Linked DNA regions of Lepisosteus oculatus. The protein of the gene in region 1 interacts with the protein of each later gene in a pairwise test. Links are inferred from orthologs where the notes say so. Each region holds a gene or a part of one and is shown on either strand. Other genes may lie near its edges.

What was found.
Region 2: the proteins of gopc (region 1) and myocd interact in binary tests that used the Homo sapiens proteins (3 or more experiments, as listed by UniProt). The two-hybrid records come from large-scale screens. The link is inferred for Lepisosteus oculatus from reciprocal best matches to the Homo sapiens genes GOPC and MYOCD.

Annotation. Positions count from the first base shown.
Region 1 is NC_090697.1:32,949,433-32,957,916, reverse strand, and holds the start of gopc (Golgi-associated PDZ and coiled-coil motif-containing protein), read left to right. Parts: upstream 1-5,059; 5' UTR 5,060-5,303; coding exon 5,304-5,576; intron 5,577-8,484. Other genes in the region: nephrocan-like, read right to left, coding at 1-292, 2,064-2,258.
Region 2 is NC_090704.1:37,589,923-37,597,932, forward strand, and holds the start of myocd (myocardin), read right to left. Parts: upstream 3,307-8,010; 5' UTR 3,200-3,306; intron 1-3,199. UniProt on the Homo sapiens protein: Smooth muscle cells (SM) and cardiac muscle cells-specific transcriptional factor which uses the canonical single or multiple CArG boxes DNA sequence. Acts as a cofactor of serum response factor (SRF) with the potential to modulate SRF-target genes.

The DNA of each region.
Region 1 (8,484 bases):
TAAATGTGTTCCCTCGAAGGCTGGATATCAGGTTGTTTTGAAGGTCAAGAACGCGCAGGTTTCTCAAACCATCAACAGCTGACTCCTGCAGGTGCTGTATCCTGTTATTTCCCAGTTTGAGGATTTCCAGGCTATGGGGGAGTCCACGAGGCATGTGCTTTAACTTGTTCTTCAGGAGCTCCAGTGTTTTTAGGTGGCTTTGAGACTTGAAAGTGTTCACTTCTATCGATTCTATTCCACAAGATGACAGAACAATTTCTTCAAGTTGTGTCAGTCCAGTAAAATCACATCTCTGAAAAAGTATATAAAAACATTGTATATCTCAGTGATTTCGGCTTAATACCTACATGAAGTCAGTTGCCTAAGACAAAAATTCAGAACAGCTCTATGAATAAATGAATATACTGACATAAAATATTGGATTTAAATCTTGATGAAGGCACACGTACCAAAGATACCAAACATCTGACATTTGATATGAATGGTCATGACTTGTGATAGACACATCTCCAAGCCTAGAAATGGCAGACTACTTAAGTTCAGGGCTTTATAATACAAAATGTCTCCTTTTAGGACACTTCAAAATGGTTTATTAAGAGTTTGTGGTGTGTATTTCAAACCACTGATCATGCTAGACAATTTTTTTTCTTGTTGATTGTTTTCAGTTGCAGGTGTGTCAGTGGAAAATATATCATTCATTACACACATACCTTAATTAACGGGGAATTTTAATTTACATTTCTTTACTGAGTGGTGGTGAATTGTAGTGCCATCATTCTAAAGTAGTAAGATCCTCACTCCTTGTATAGTTTTAGTATAGGACACTTAAGTTCATGAGCAATTAAAATTGATTTTGTGGTTTTATGGACAATTAGGGATTGGACTTTTATATTAATTTTCAGATCATTGAAACCACTGAATAATTGTCTTCAAAGTATCATTCTTTCATAAAACTTAATTGAGAAAAAAATTGATATTTTTATATTGCATTTTAAAAGATAAAAGAAAGAAAATGCCATTATTCTGATACAGTATGTAATAAATGATTCAAAGCATGCCTCATGACTTCCTATCTTTTTGGACATAATGATGAACTGCTACTGTGAGCTACATGCATGATTAATGGATATTAATTTAAGAAAATAACTAATTGAACATACAGCCTACAGAATAACTACAGGACATAAATTGATTTGAGTTTATTATTGTTCAGATGTCACAAACCTTTAATTTATCAGTTAATAGAAAGCCTTCACAAATATGTTTTAGATTGAAATTAATTATACAGATTCACATAAAATATAGAAATAATTTAAAATCTGGAGGATGATGATGGTTTAACGATAATTCATCAGGAATATGTGTTTTTCCTAAAATATCAATATCATAATTTAATATTCACAAATATGTAGATTATGTGTGTGAAAATAATCATACATATTTAATCTATAGCTGCTGTATATCCTAGTACCTTAATCACACACACAAACTTCTTTTTATGTGGTAGGTTGTATTTAAACTTTGATTTTAGAAACGTTTCTAAATCTACATAAATATCATGAAAATTTTACCATCCAAAGAGATTCTGTTTTCTCAAGGATACACAGACAAGAAAACAGACAGGAACAGAATATATTCAAGTAGGTAGCTGCGTCAGCATGCGTAGGCTGCAAAGGAACAGGTAACGAGTTTATATTTCTTTTCAGCATGGAATAAACTCGTTATCTGTTCCTTTGCAGGAACAGAATATGATTCACAGATATGTTTAACTTTTAAATGGACTCCATATTTAACTATTTATACATACATCCTTTATAACCCACTTTTGTACATAGAATATAAATGCTTATATAATCTACACAAAAGCAGCGAACAGTTCGAAATACTGTATTTGTTTAAATTCCAAGGCACAAACCACTTAAACCTTTTTCTCTGTTGCTAAGAGAAGTCTTAAGTCTTCTCAGAAACCTCCTATAAATACTGGTACAAGTGTAAACTCCCCATAGTGCAAATCTCTGAAGGAAGTTTATATCTCTGGTCGGCTTGTTTAGCTTTGCTCTTACCTTTAAATCCTTAATGTGGTTGTATCCTAGATTCAGTTTCCTTGTATCTTTTGCAGTCCCAGACGGTACAGCATGTACCCTGTAGCACTGTATCGACTTTTCGTTTTCACAAATGCAATTCTTTGGACATCCATTGTCATTTAGGCAGTAGCAGAGATGCAACAAGATGCAGATGGAAATTAAAATAAACTGCATGCTGAAAATACAACTAGGGAAGTCACTTTGGTCCAGAGACAGCACTCTCTGTAACCTTCGATCTCTTGTGTGACTTATATAGCAGGACATCCTAAAACCTAATGCTGGTAAGAGAGTGTTTTCTCAAGCCTATTTGGAACAATACTACAGATTTTTATCTTGGTTAAAAAACACCACTTGACACTAACAAGGAACTGACCTAAACAGTAATAGATTGGACCTCTGTTTGTAGACGTGAGAAACTTGCTGATAAACAATTTATTGCCCTTGCTGGTGAGTGCGTGCAATTTCCTTTGCTTTATCCAATTCCTTCCTGGGTGCTTTTTTCAATTTAAATAATAAAGCACTCCATTGAAAGTGTCAGTGGATTTTTCACTTTTAAAATTTTATAAGATCTGCTAAATCCTCCTTGGCTCCTTAAGGAAAAAAATGCCAGAGATTAATTAGCTGTCAGTCTTTTAATTGTGTCTGTGTTGTCATTTGATAACACTTGTTGCCACAGGTGTCCTTGGCTCCCAGTGTGCCTGTTACTCAGGCTTTATCACAAAGAGGGTCACCCAGAGGAAATACTTTTGAAAGAACAACCCATGTGAACTGAGGTTGCTGAATAGGGGTCACAGAACCCGGAGGATTGCTTCATTTGTGGAGCAATAACACCACAGAGATATGTGACCCTCCCAAATAATATGCGATCAAGCCAAGAGATTAAAAGATTCCATCCTTTAAAAGCAAGAGACACTAAAACACAGATCCTACTCTTAGCTTCTGTATCTGCAGGAGTGTGGGATATTTATAATTCATCTGAGAGGGTGTCCTGCTGTGTTGAGATATAAAACATTTTGCTCCCTGTGATAGCTTGGAGATAATGAATATAAAAATATCTTATGTGAGAACAAATAGTTCAATTGTTTTCGTGAGTGCTATAATGGTGAAGTTCAGTATGTTTTCTCATTTATAATGTTTAAGGTAAAAATATGCCTTTTTCACAAGAACAGAAACAGCTTGAACATTGTGCCTGGCAACTTTCAGCAATACTTAGAACAAAACGTTGTATTTGTATTTATTTTAGTCTCCATTGTAATAATCATTTCTACTTCTCTCTTGGCCTTGCAGTTCATCATATTAGTGTCCTTAAACTGGATCCTGTTCATTTTTTAAACTGTTAACAAAAGTATTTTTCCCCAAAAATATTTTTCTTAATTTGATTACTAACGCAATTTGGGGTGTAACTTTGATTCACTTACTTCTGGCATTAACCTGTTCAGTTTTTTTAGATGGATATTTTTTAATAGTTGTCATCCATTCTCCAATCTTTCATTATTTACCCTGTTGCACTCTGGATCTCTCAAATTCCCTTTCATTTCTTTAAAGTCAGTTTTCCTGAAAGTATATATATATTTAAAACTCTTTTGGACTGTACCTACTGTACACAGTTTTAAAAATGTGAATAGCACAACACGTTTTCTCCGTGAATCTGTACCCTATGTTTTATTTATTCTTTGTCAATGTTTTTTTGTCTTCTACTTTAAAATGTTTTTGTGTATGTGGAATATGTGAGTGCAATACAATTTAACCAGCATTTTTTTTACTCCTGGGGTGCTTTATAAATATTTTACGTGGCCAGAGGGTTAGATGCATGCAGTGGTTTTAAAATTTCACAAAATAACAAACCTATTCAGCACGACACCTTTTTTATGCTGAAGAAATACTTGGTAAACGATGTGAGGGGTGGGATTCGTATTTCAGGATCACTCGGTTTATAGGGTGACACTTTTATTTAAAACAATGGATTAATCTTTATCTTAGTGAGATTAGTTCTCATTATACATTACACATGGCACACGGCGTGGCGGTCAGGCTCACGACTTGCGTGTCCTGAGTTTGATTCCGGGCTGCGGTGCCTTTCTGTATGCCTCTTTCCAGGTGCTCCAGTTTCCTCACGCCTTCAGGAACAAGCTTACTAGGTCTCCTGGTGTCAGGAAATTGTCCCCGTGTGTGTGCTCTGACGGATGGACACTTCGTAGAGGATGTAGCGCTGCCATGCACTCTACGTCCGGGATAGTCTCCGGGTTGCCCTGATCTTTTTAAAGGATTTCTGTAAGCGGCTTTTTGATAATTTAGTATTGCACTGCATATTTTCCCGTCGGTATGCAGGTCTTAATGAGCTTGCTTGAGTTACCGGTTCTTCAAACAGCCAGCAGATGGCCATAAAATGTGCTTATAATTGCTTACCTACTAAAAGCTATTGAATAGTAGTCAGTTGATATAAAAAATAATCAAATTAATTCAATTAATAAAAAATAATAAATGAATCAAATATAAAAAATAAAAAATCACCGATATGTCAAGGCATTCTCGCATAACTTTTAATCACACTTTTGCAGATATACGTTTTGACCACTTCTGTAAGATCGGGAGTGAGATTATTTAATTAGTATCATTTTCTTTTTCGTTTTTAAGAAGAATATTAGCCATCGGAGAAATAATTATTTTATTGTGTAATGGTTTTGTTTATATGGCATGAAGTAAACATTTTGGGTATAATTCCATGATAAAACAGCTGATCACACGTGAAGAAATGAGTTTAGACAGATTCCCAAAACGTGATTTTCAGAATGCTTTTTTCAAACACAGCACAGCTCCAGGTAAAATTAAATGGAGGCAATATGTTTTGAGGCTGGGTAAATCACGGTTGTTAGATCTGTAAGTAGAACTCCCTCAGGTCTGCGTATCCTGTTTTGACGCTCTAAATCGATTATCTCTTTACTCTCTTGCTTTTTCTTGACGCAGGTCCAGCTGTGTGGCAGGCAATGATAGTCAATCACAGACTCGCAACCAATCCGCACTTCGGATTTCCTGGTCCGCAGAAGCCGGACGGTACGGTAGAAAACAGGGTTGGCTAAGACGACAGAGCGTGGTGTAGGATAGTAATATTTTATTTGTAATAAATAGATACAAAAATAAACTAGAAAAGTGATTAATTTATTATCGAAAAGGTGCTGCCTAGAATTGACAAGTAGTAATTCGTCGCTTGCAGTATCTGTGATGTCTGCGACGGCCGGCGGTGTCTCACCAGCCCCTCAGGGCTCGGCTCTCAGTGGTCCCGGTTCGGGAATGTCAATGTTCCGATGGTTGGAGGTCCTGGAGAAGGAATTTGACAAGGCTTTTGTGGATGTGGATCTGCTCCTCGGAGAGATCGACCCCGATCAGGCTGACATCACCTATGAGGGCCGTCAGAAAATGACCACTCTGAGTTCCTGCTTCGCTCAGCTGTGCCACAAGGCTCAGACCATCTTCCAGTTAAACCACAAACTGGAGGTAAGCACTCGGACACAGAGCATGTTAAAAGTGCCCGACGCCAGACGCCAGACGAGACCTGTACGGCGATTTATTGATTAGGGAACATGGCGTAGCTTTGCAAGTTAAGTCACATTCGCAGTGCCGTGAAACCCAAGAAGTATGCTTTATTTTAAAGTTCGTTTCTGTACTTGTATGTCAGTTGTGTTTGCCTAAAAACATTGCTCTGAAAACACAGTCAGAAGATAAGATAATTTAAACCATTAGCTAAAGATTTAGCACAAATTTGTCTTACTGAACATGGAATTTATACCTAGCTGTTCAGAGGAATTAACTTATGTTCATTGTGTGTTTTGGTATCTTTAGCGTTTCTTTGAGGTGTCACCAGAAGCTTTAGTTACTGATGTTAGAATTATGCAAGATGTATATCAGATATATTTTAACCTCAAATACTTTTATTTTAAACCAAACTAGTCTTTGCTTTCTCTTTATCTCAAGTACTTACTGTTGGCTAAGACAATAAGAATAGAGTTAATAACATTTTTACCTGGCGTTTGGCAAAACCTCATAACATTTTTTAGTATGTTTGTTTTTGTTTTCTGATTTGTATAACACATTGGCTTTTTACTTTATAAGGTCACGTGAAGGACCACATTTGAAATTGTGAAATAGACATACAATATCCACTTCCTTGATGTGTTTTGTTGGATTTTGATTTTAGGGGTTACCTCAGTCCTGTGGAGTAAAACTCAGTAAACATGAGTTGTAATTGTACTGTGCTGTACTTCAGTTATATGGTAAGGTTTACAGGCTGGTGGTTTCTGAGAAGAAATCATCCAGTTCTGCTAGTGTGCAACAGAAGGCACAAGACAACTCTTTTGTAGATGACAAAGAAGCTTTAGAGCAAACAAGTAGAAATCAATTTCTTTATAAATCTTATTTAAGGTATCATCATTGTAATTCTTAAAACTCACAAAATATTGAGTTAAAGATTTTAAATAATTTGTGCCCTATCAAGCATTTTCTTGTGTCTGGAAAAAAGTAACATTTATGTTAAATGTAAAATGCAGGATCTTCTTCACACTTGTTAATTCCCTTTTGTAGTGAGTGGCAATTCAATTTTCTGTCATGTAACACTTGTCTTTTAACTGTACTGTGTGCTGTGCTAGTGGTTTTCTAATCCATCACCAAATGGTCTTATAAAAGCAAGCTCTTCTACCATTGGTTTAACTGGTGTGTCTCATTTTATACTTAAAAGAATGGATAGTACCCAGGCTAGAATGTGAATGGTTTGTAAGGCCTGATCTTTGAGTAAACTGGCTACATTATATACATTACAGAAGTCAGTCAACGTTTTGTGGTGTGTACTGTATGAAGGAATATATATATGCACAGTTAGAATGAAACTAAAGTTCAAGAAGGTATAATTTGTAAGGTACATAATGTAAAAATGTTTTATTATTTGTGCCTTTAGAGATGCATAAATGTGATACTGAATTGTTTTGGGGGGTTTAATAAGCCATCAATAATATGCTGTAGTAGGAGAGGCAATAACTTCACTGTTGACAGTAAGGTTGTTTTGTACGGAAAAGTTAAAGAGAAGAAATAGTCAGTACCCATGTTTGGCATACTTCATCAACTGAATTTCCTAAAAATAAAACCTTAAAATGGAGTTATATGAAGTTACAATTTCAGTTGAGAATATATTTTAATGAACTGTAGAGCGACTGGGGATTTCACCTTCTTAAAAATCTTTTAAGTAGAAATAATGAAGATCATCACATACTGTACAGTGCCTTGCAAAGTGGTTCCTCCCTACTAAGAGATGGAAACAGTGCTAAGGGTGGTTCCACCAAATACGTCTACGCTAGGTTTTGATTCTTCTTTGCAGGTTTTCTGTCATTTAACATTTTGGACCGATAAAAGTATCTAGTTTAAGCACTCAAGTTTTGATTGAAAATACTCACTTTAAAAAATGTGTATGCATCATTTGTAATTCAACAAAATGAGACATAACTGTAAGGGAGAATATGCTTTTGCAGGGCACTTCGTCTTTATCAGAAGCAGTATTTTTTCATATCAGATTTTTCTGTAAATGACTGCCGCAGCCCAGGAAGAAAATAAGCTCTGGTTAAAGACATGTCACGCTACTGGGCAGTGTATAATAATAATAATAATAATAATAATAATAATAATAATAATAATGTTTCTTTATTAGCCCTGTACAATATATTGCATTAGGACTTAATCTTTTCGCATACCCCAGCTTTTCTCCATGAGACACAGGACACAGACAGGAAGAGAAGCTTGGGGTCAGAGCACAGAGTCTGCCATTGTACGGCGCCCCTGGAGCAGTTGGGGTTAAGGGCCTTGCTCAGGGGCCCAACAGAGTAGGATTCCTCTGCCGGCTGCGGGATTTGAACTGGCAACCTTCCAGTCACAAGCACAGATACTACTAAGCAAAACATTTTAGTTGATCCCTAGAGAAACAAAAAAAATTCACAAGCAGACAGAAATGCTTACTGCCACTTAGTATGTCCAGAGCCTTTCCAGGAGCACTGTTCCTCTGCATGATATTTTAGACACCTAGATATTGATAGCAGCACCTGGAGGTTATGGAGTTCAAAGCTACATTATACAGTCCCGGCATTCCTCAAACTCACTGAACATAGTAGTTTTCTGAAAGGTCAAAAATGAGGCCATCTATGCAGACAGATCAGTGAGGGTGCTAACTATTGGTTTCTAATAACAGCACCTTAGTCTCCAAAGACAGCCAGAATGTAAGCAGCTAAGTATACCGTGACCAAGAATAATTTGAAGTCAACCACATCTCTGAAACTGCATTATTTACCTGTTGATGGTGACTCAGTACACTCTGTCTGTACCCAGACTGGTCTTGTGGCCAAGTAGGTTCTGCTAGCTGTACTAC
Region 2 (8,010 bases), on another chromosome or scaffold:
AATGACCTGAGAGCTTGCAATTAGTTTGCACATTCTTACAGAGACAATCCTCAGCTTGGAAAAAGAAAATAAAAGATTCTGAAGTCAAAATGTGAACTATGAGATTGTCAGCTGAACTGTTACTTCTGCTTTAAAGTGGTTAGAATTAGTGAGATCTAGGTATATTTATTTTTCTGGGAGTGTAATAGAAATTGTGAAAAGTAAGAGACTAATGCAATGAAGTGTGGAAACCTTGCACCATTGAACATAGTTTCTTTACAAGCAGTTAGCATTGATAGATCTTATAAGGTTTTTAATACTGTACTTCTTCATTAAAGCAAGACATCCCAGTATAGTACGTCTCAATTCTATTCTAGTCCTCAATACCCGTCACCCAGTGACAGATCTTCCAAAAAGTGTGAGGGAGCTTAAGCCACCCCAGTATAAGCAAAAGTCATCCCAGTTTAGTCACCCTACATTAACCTCTATTTGTAAAACTGCTAAAGGAATAACTTGAAAACTGAACATTTAAAATGAGTTGAAATTAGGGTTCAATTATGTAACTACAGGCTGCAGAAATCTTGGGAATCTAGTGGATTAAATTACTTAAATATGCAAAATATGTAGGAATGGTTTCACGAACCATAATTATCACTAAATCAGATCTACCTTACAGTATTTAGATAATGATTATGGGTATTGATATAGAAATGTGGATATAATTATTCCAAAGTTTGTGGCTGTGACACTTTACAAACAAAGTAAATCAGTGAAAAAGGCTGTTTTATATGCTAAAACTCTGCACACAAATAGAGGTTTTTACAAAATATAATATGTAATTTGGTCAAAAATAAAGCAGAAATAAGCAAACAACAAAGCAAAAACAAAGCACACCATATTGAAATTCAGTTTCAAATATATTAGGTCACTGTATATTAATTGGATGCTCCAAAACATCTCTGTCATACAGTAGGTAATTCTCAAAAGTTGGTCACCTCAGTGCAGCCTGCTAGGCCACAAAAGACACCTCCCTCTATTATAAGAAGGATAGGTATTTGTAATACTTTTTTATACATCATGCACATTGCAGAATGTGTAGACCCACGGAAACACCCAGGAAGAAACAACCACTACTTTGGCCTGCAACAACACATAGCAAAAAAGGTCTGTATTTCTTTTAGGTATTTTTTGTTTGGATTGGAGGTTATCATCCAAATACATACTGTAATTCAAGTAAATTAATGACATCTTGAGTCACATAGGCTAGACTTTAAAAAAAAAAGCATTGCCAGTGGGCACAGAATTCTCTTTTGTGAGCAGGTACATTCCTGCTTGGGCAGATCTGTAAAGTGAGATTGGTCACACCATGAAATACAGCTGTTTTCTTATAAATCTTGGAGATTGATCTGGAAATTGGTAGGAGAAATTAAATTAAAATCAGCTGAGGACCTTCCTATAAAAACATACTTGTTAGTTCCTACAAATTTCAATGCTCCTTGTGGCGACTTCACAGTGTTGATCTATTTACTACAATAACTGCATCCACTTTGTTCAATTAATAAGTTCAAAATTGATTTTGCTTGTAGAAAAGATGTGAAGACTCCAGATGATTCTCAAAATGAATTTTTTATATAAGGAAAACAAACCTTCCACACTAAGTTGTTTTTAACAAAAAGAAAGTTTGTCCATACAGTTTGCATTTATGCATGGTGTTTAATTTCAATATAATGAATGACAAAAAAATCTCCCCCAACACACGCAAATAACTGTTCTATGTTAAAACACATTCCTTAACACACATTTGACTGCCTTGTTCATAAAAATAGCCTTTTAAGAACAGCTTAATATTCAGCAAAGCAGAATTATTGGAATGTAAAAACACTGTTGTCTAGATGAATTACAAGGAGAACCTTGCTAGCTTCTCTTGCCTTTATTTTATGTTTCCTGAGCAATGATGGACAGAAACTCCATTTGCTAAGGATTCTTTCAAATCCTTCTTCCAAGTCATGTTTGACCTGAGCAATCATGGTATCATTTCCTTGCACAGCCTCTAAATCTTGACTAATCTTGTCAACTAACTTAACTTTAAAACATTCAAGGGTCCTTGCAAAAACATACCATGGTAATTTTCACACTATTGTGCCTGTTATAAACAGTACATGATTCATCTGAATCATGGTATACCACAGTGATTAATGTTATATTGTATTTGTTATTGTTAACCAGTGTAAGGTTGTGATAACCATAATATTGCATAATTTGTAAGTATTCAAGATGTTTGTATAGAACTATTGTTTATTGTTAATTGTTTTGTATTTACAATAGTATGATATATATTGCTTAAGAATACTTTGGGAATTTTGCACAAGTTATGTTTAGGGAAGGAAAAAGTGGAGAAAACTTTGCAATGCAGTGTAGCAAACTGCTCTGAAAGATGGGTTTTGATAGTACAAGCTTGTTGTAGTCTAGAAGTCATAACTTCTTTCAGCACGGCCTGAATGTTAAAGTATCACAACATGTACAACTTGGCTTGTTCACTGCAGTCCTTCCAAGCCAATTTAAGCTTCTTTTAATGTAGAAAAACTAAAAAATATAAAAATAAAATACCATCATTACTGACTTAAAGCAGAAGAATCCATTGACTGGAGTGTTTCACCTTATACTAGTTTTGTCAACTTCTTTTTATATCTAAAACATTGTATTGAGTTTGCTTAATTACTATCATCCTTTATAGGATTCTATTTTTACCATACTTGTTATGACCACTGTAAAACTACATAAGAATACAAATTATTCTAATTATATAAAATGATTACACAAATGAAAGATTGCAGTGTAAAGCTGGGGTCCCCACTTTTATTTTAAGGATTAAAAAATCACTAGCAAATGCTGTAGATGGAAAAAGACATTAAAACTATTCATGCTGAATCACAAACACATTTCTCCTAATACTAATTGTTTGAGAAACGACTCGTGCATGCAAGCTTTGATTACTTCCACGTTGTTTTTAAAGAAGTGTTTTTTAATTGGATTAATTAAAACAGAAAAGAAACACTAGAAGACAGATGAAGAGCATTGACCCCTCTTGTGGAGAGCTAGCATACACTGCACAGCAGGTAGTATTAGCTTAGAATTGTACGTTGTTTCGATAAACCTTTGGCCAAGTTCCTTCAATTAACGTTGCGTTTTTGGAAGCCAAGAACAGAATGTAATAAAATACCTGTAAGTAGCTGTGGCGCAGGGTGTTATTTCTCTCTGATGAAATGTACTGAAGCTGCTGGGGATGAAGCGAAGAAGCCTATGAATTTAACAGACTGCTTCATTACGGTTCTCCAAGTCTGTAAACTTGCCGTGCCTTAAGAGCCGAGTTATAAGAGCCCTGTGCTGTCGGCTTACGGAAACAGCCGAATCCAATTCACGGGAGCAGCCAGACTTCGGGAAATATTCAATGCTACTGTTTCTAGGTTTACATGGATGCCGTGGGAGTATTTGAAACCGAGATTTACGCAGTCTGACATATTGTTTGAAGTGAAATCCTTATGACATCTCTGACATAGCGTCAGCTAGATTTCTTCAAAGTCCAAATCTTATTTCTATGCACTAACTCTATGAGTTACCGATATGTTTTGATGTCCCTTCAGTTCAGTGGCGATAGTGTCCGTATTAGGAAATCTACAGTATAATGCTTTTTTAAGGCAGAGCTAATTTCCAAGACAGCTCCATATGATAAAGTTTAAGAATGAAATGAGAGTGATTACTGGTATGAGAGACCATATGCACTTCATCAGACTTCATCATGCTACTATAATGTTTTACATTAGACTACTTACGTTTTGCTCTTAAAGTTATTCTGCATAAATCTTCCATTACATTACATTTCATAACAGAGTTGTGCTGAATTAATGCCCCGGAAAGAGAAAAATCTAATTTTGATGTAGTGTCAATGTTACATTTTATAATTTCCAGGGAATTTGCTGCGGAAATCGAGACACATGCATTTCACTCTAAGCCCTACTGAAAACGGGTATTGAATTTAAATTAATAGTTTAATGAAGGACTTCCTGACATTACTTGTGCATTTGGTAAAGACAATAGCAGATAGTTGCGGGGTGAAGCATGGTCCTTCATAATTCATTCTGTCATTCAAAACTACAGTATCACAGGTGGCAAGAAACAAGCGTGCACCTGCTCGCAGAAACTGTAGTCTGTCAGAGGTCTCATCATCAGATTAATACACTGGCGAAATGAGGATTATAGAGGTTAATGTATGTGTCTGAATTTGGTTTAATCAGAGGTATCAAAGTGGGTATAATGAAAGTACTCAAATGCCATGTAAGCATTATTAAATAACTTTATAAGAGCTGCTAACAAATGAGCAGTTTGACTGATAAAGCAGGGTCTGAAAGGATATTAAGCAATAATGATGCAAAATAAAGTTAGATTCAATAACACATTAAAGCTGGTTTTCTTAACTTCATCATAGCTCTGGAATTCTTATTAGATGTACTTTCTACGTTTTTAATGTTTGAAGACATCTGTTTGCTATTTAACTGCATTGTTACTTACCCTCTCCTTTTACAATAGCTATTAAAATCAGAAAAGAAGGTCTGGGAAGTGTAATACACTATTTAAAACATGCATTTGTAATAGAAACAGGTATTTTAACATGTAGAAGAATTAATATAAAGTGATATACATCCCCAAAAGAAATTAAGTTAATAAATAAATTCAGTTATCAAAGCAGAATATGTTCCTGGGGTAATATTTATACCTACAATACCTACAGTTCTAATTACATTGTCTTTATGCATTAATATAATTGGCTAAGTACAGTATATGTTACAGAAGTACAGCATTATCTGAATCAGTCTACATACAGTCTACACAACAAACATCTTGCTATAATATCTAAATGCATATTACAGTATAATACCATTAAAATTGTTACATTTGCCCCATTCTGTAGAGTATGCTTTTTTATTATCCAGGATGTAAGCGATTTATGAATATGTCTTCTTTTGTCAAAGTAAACAAATTTCAGAATAGTCTATTGCCACAGGTGTGTAAAACAAATACAACACACTTAATTAGTTAAGAAAATAAATTAATGGCATATTGCAGTTCTTTGCAGTATCACTTTCTAACAGATATTAAGACAAATTCCTTGCTTACATGGTCTTATTGTCTAAATCTAGCAAAGTTTGTGTTGGTTTCACTGAAGAAATAAAATTACCAGTAGACAAAAATAGAACACCTCAAATTTTATTTGTGTTTTTATTGGAAGAGTATTATGCATTTTATTCTGCTATTTTGCACATGCTAGCCAGGAGCTTATTTTGTTATTGAATTCTTTCCTTTATGGCAATGAAAGCCAAAGCAGATATCAATCTTTATCCAGACTGAACATAGTTTGCAGTATTATCAAATACTCCCATGTCATCCTTATGCAATTAATTTTCTTTTTTTTACCACTGTATCACTCTAAGATTATGCTTGTAATGTATTTTTAAAATATGAAATTGGCTCATCATTATTATTAGTGTCATTATATTTGTGTTAATGATACTAATACATGAAACTGGATCAAGTGGTACCTGAAAAGGAATAAGCAAATGGTTTTGACATTCTAACACATGTTTTTTATAAAGGTTGTAAGAAATTAAGTAGGTGAAAGTGATTCTGATTCATTTCTTTACCCTTTGTCTATCTAGGATGATGTGCCAGGGTCATTTCTTCTTTGCATTAGTAAAAGTAAAAGCTTCTCTCTCAATACATGACCTTAAAACATGAACTTTCTTGCTTTAAGATGAAGTTCATAGACTTGGCAAGAGTGCAGTTCACTTGACAAGTTTAAGAAACGTAAAACAATGAGACTTTTACCCTCCTGAAAAAGACATACAATTTTTTTGTTCCAAAAACATGCAGTACAGTATCTGGGTAGCCTGATTGAAAATATTCAAATTCTTGGAAGGAATATTATCCTTGCAATAACAAAAAAAAGTTATGTTGTCAAAGTGAGCTTATTAAACTAACATAGCACAGAAAACTAGGCAAGTGTTTAATTGTTGGCTGTATTTACATTAATTTTCATAAAAAGCAATGAATGAAAACCCATATTCTTTCAAAGACAGGTGCAGCACACAATGCCTTGATTATGGGAATAATGGCCCCAACAAAATGAAGTGAAATTACTGCAGATTTCAGCCTGAAAATATTCAGATTTTAAGAGGCCATGCCTGGCAATCTGGTAAAGATAAAACCTTTTTATCTTTAAAACCTATCCTACAGAGTTTGTTAGTAAAATAAAAAGTTCAACACTGAGAATGAACCTGGTTTGGAGGAACAGGACATGTATGGCAAATACTCATTTGACATACAGTAAGCAAATAAATAGTCACATATATAAAGAACAACTCTTCATTCTGGAATCATACATTGCATTTAATCATATGTGGAGGCTTAAAACTTTGAGGGGCTGCTCTTTGTCTTAAGCAAGACACAAATGTGGTTAGACTTTGTATGGTGGAATCAGGAAACCAGTTCTGTGGCAAGGCATTCCATTCCTGGCAAACAGTGTGTATAACACTGCAAAGAACCTTAACATCTGTTACTATACCCAAATTCTCCAGGAGGGATGTCTGCTTGTTCAAGCCAGTACTAAACCAAGCATAATGCTATATTAAAGAATACACTTCCCCTGGTTAGGCGAAAATCAAAGATGCAAAGAGCGACCAGAGTACCCCAAATCTGCCATGGCCTTGGAAAACAATGAAGTTTAATCTGCTTACATCAAGTATACAGTATATTCCATCACACTAGTGCTGCTGTACAGTATTCCGAAATTTGTTAGCAAACCGATTGCTACAGTATCTCATGGTAAGGTAGGCAAGGTCATGTTATACTTTACATGATCTATATATTCAGCAGATGTCATGGCTTTAAATGTGTTTTCTCAGTGAGATATTGGTTTTGCTGCTAGAGAATATTACTTTAACAAGCATAGCCAATTGTACTGCAACATACTTCTCAAAATCAATTCGAGAGTGGCAACCATTCTAATTTTTACCGACATCCCCTTTGAAGACTTGAATTAAAGGTTATGGGCCAAAATTACAACGTAATATTATTCTAAAAAATAATGCAAAACAAATGTTGATGTATTTTAACATCATATGACATAAAGGACTATAGTGCACAGAAGAAGTTGTGGTGATGTTCACAATTTTTGTAACTTTTGCTTTTAAACTTGTGATTTCCTCTAAATACTCAATTATAGCAGACTTTTTTACATGAAAACTTTTTTTAAAGTAAAAATAAGATTTATTCAAGCAAATAGACAATTTTTTAAAGCTAATTGATGTTATGGCTAATTGTATGTCAATTCACTAGTTTATCTTTTAGTAGAAAACAATAGTATTCAGAAGCAATTATTTACAGTTTTCAATGAAAATGTTTAATTTCAAGATATTCAATGGTAAAAAAATTGCTTGAAATTTTAAGAAGCACTGGAGTTGAAAACTGTTGTTAGAAATGGAACTACACAATTATACTATTGATCTTGACATACTTGAGATAAAAGAGCAGGCCAGGCCAATATCTCAGGAAATGTAAGTGAAGTATGAAGTATGAAATCCATGCCACTGTTTTTGAAATGTGGAATTTGTTCATTAACTTGAGTGGTTTGTGCGCACTTGAGTTTTACACAGTATGTAAATATAAAAGGAATGTATTGGAAATACCTACTGTAAAGGAAAGAAATCACTCATTTGGTCATTTGGTAGTGAAAGCCTTAATGCGATTGTTGTTACAAGATGGCTTGTAGCACTATGAGTCTAACACTGCTCATGCTCTTACATTTTTGTGAGCAAACAGCTAAAACTATTTTAAAGTGCCTATTTTTGATTCTGACACAGACTGTGGAATGCATGGCTTTGAGCCAGAGACTAAATTTGTCTGCAGGATATTACCCCATAGCACTGTCTGACAGTAATTTAATATTTTAGTGACTGTATAAACGTGCTGCAAGGGGCT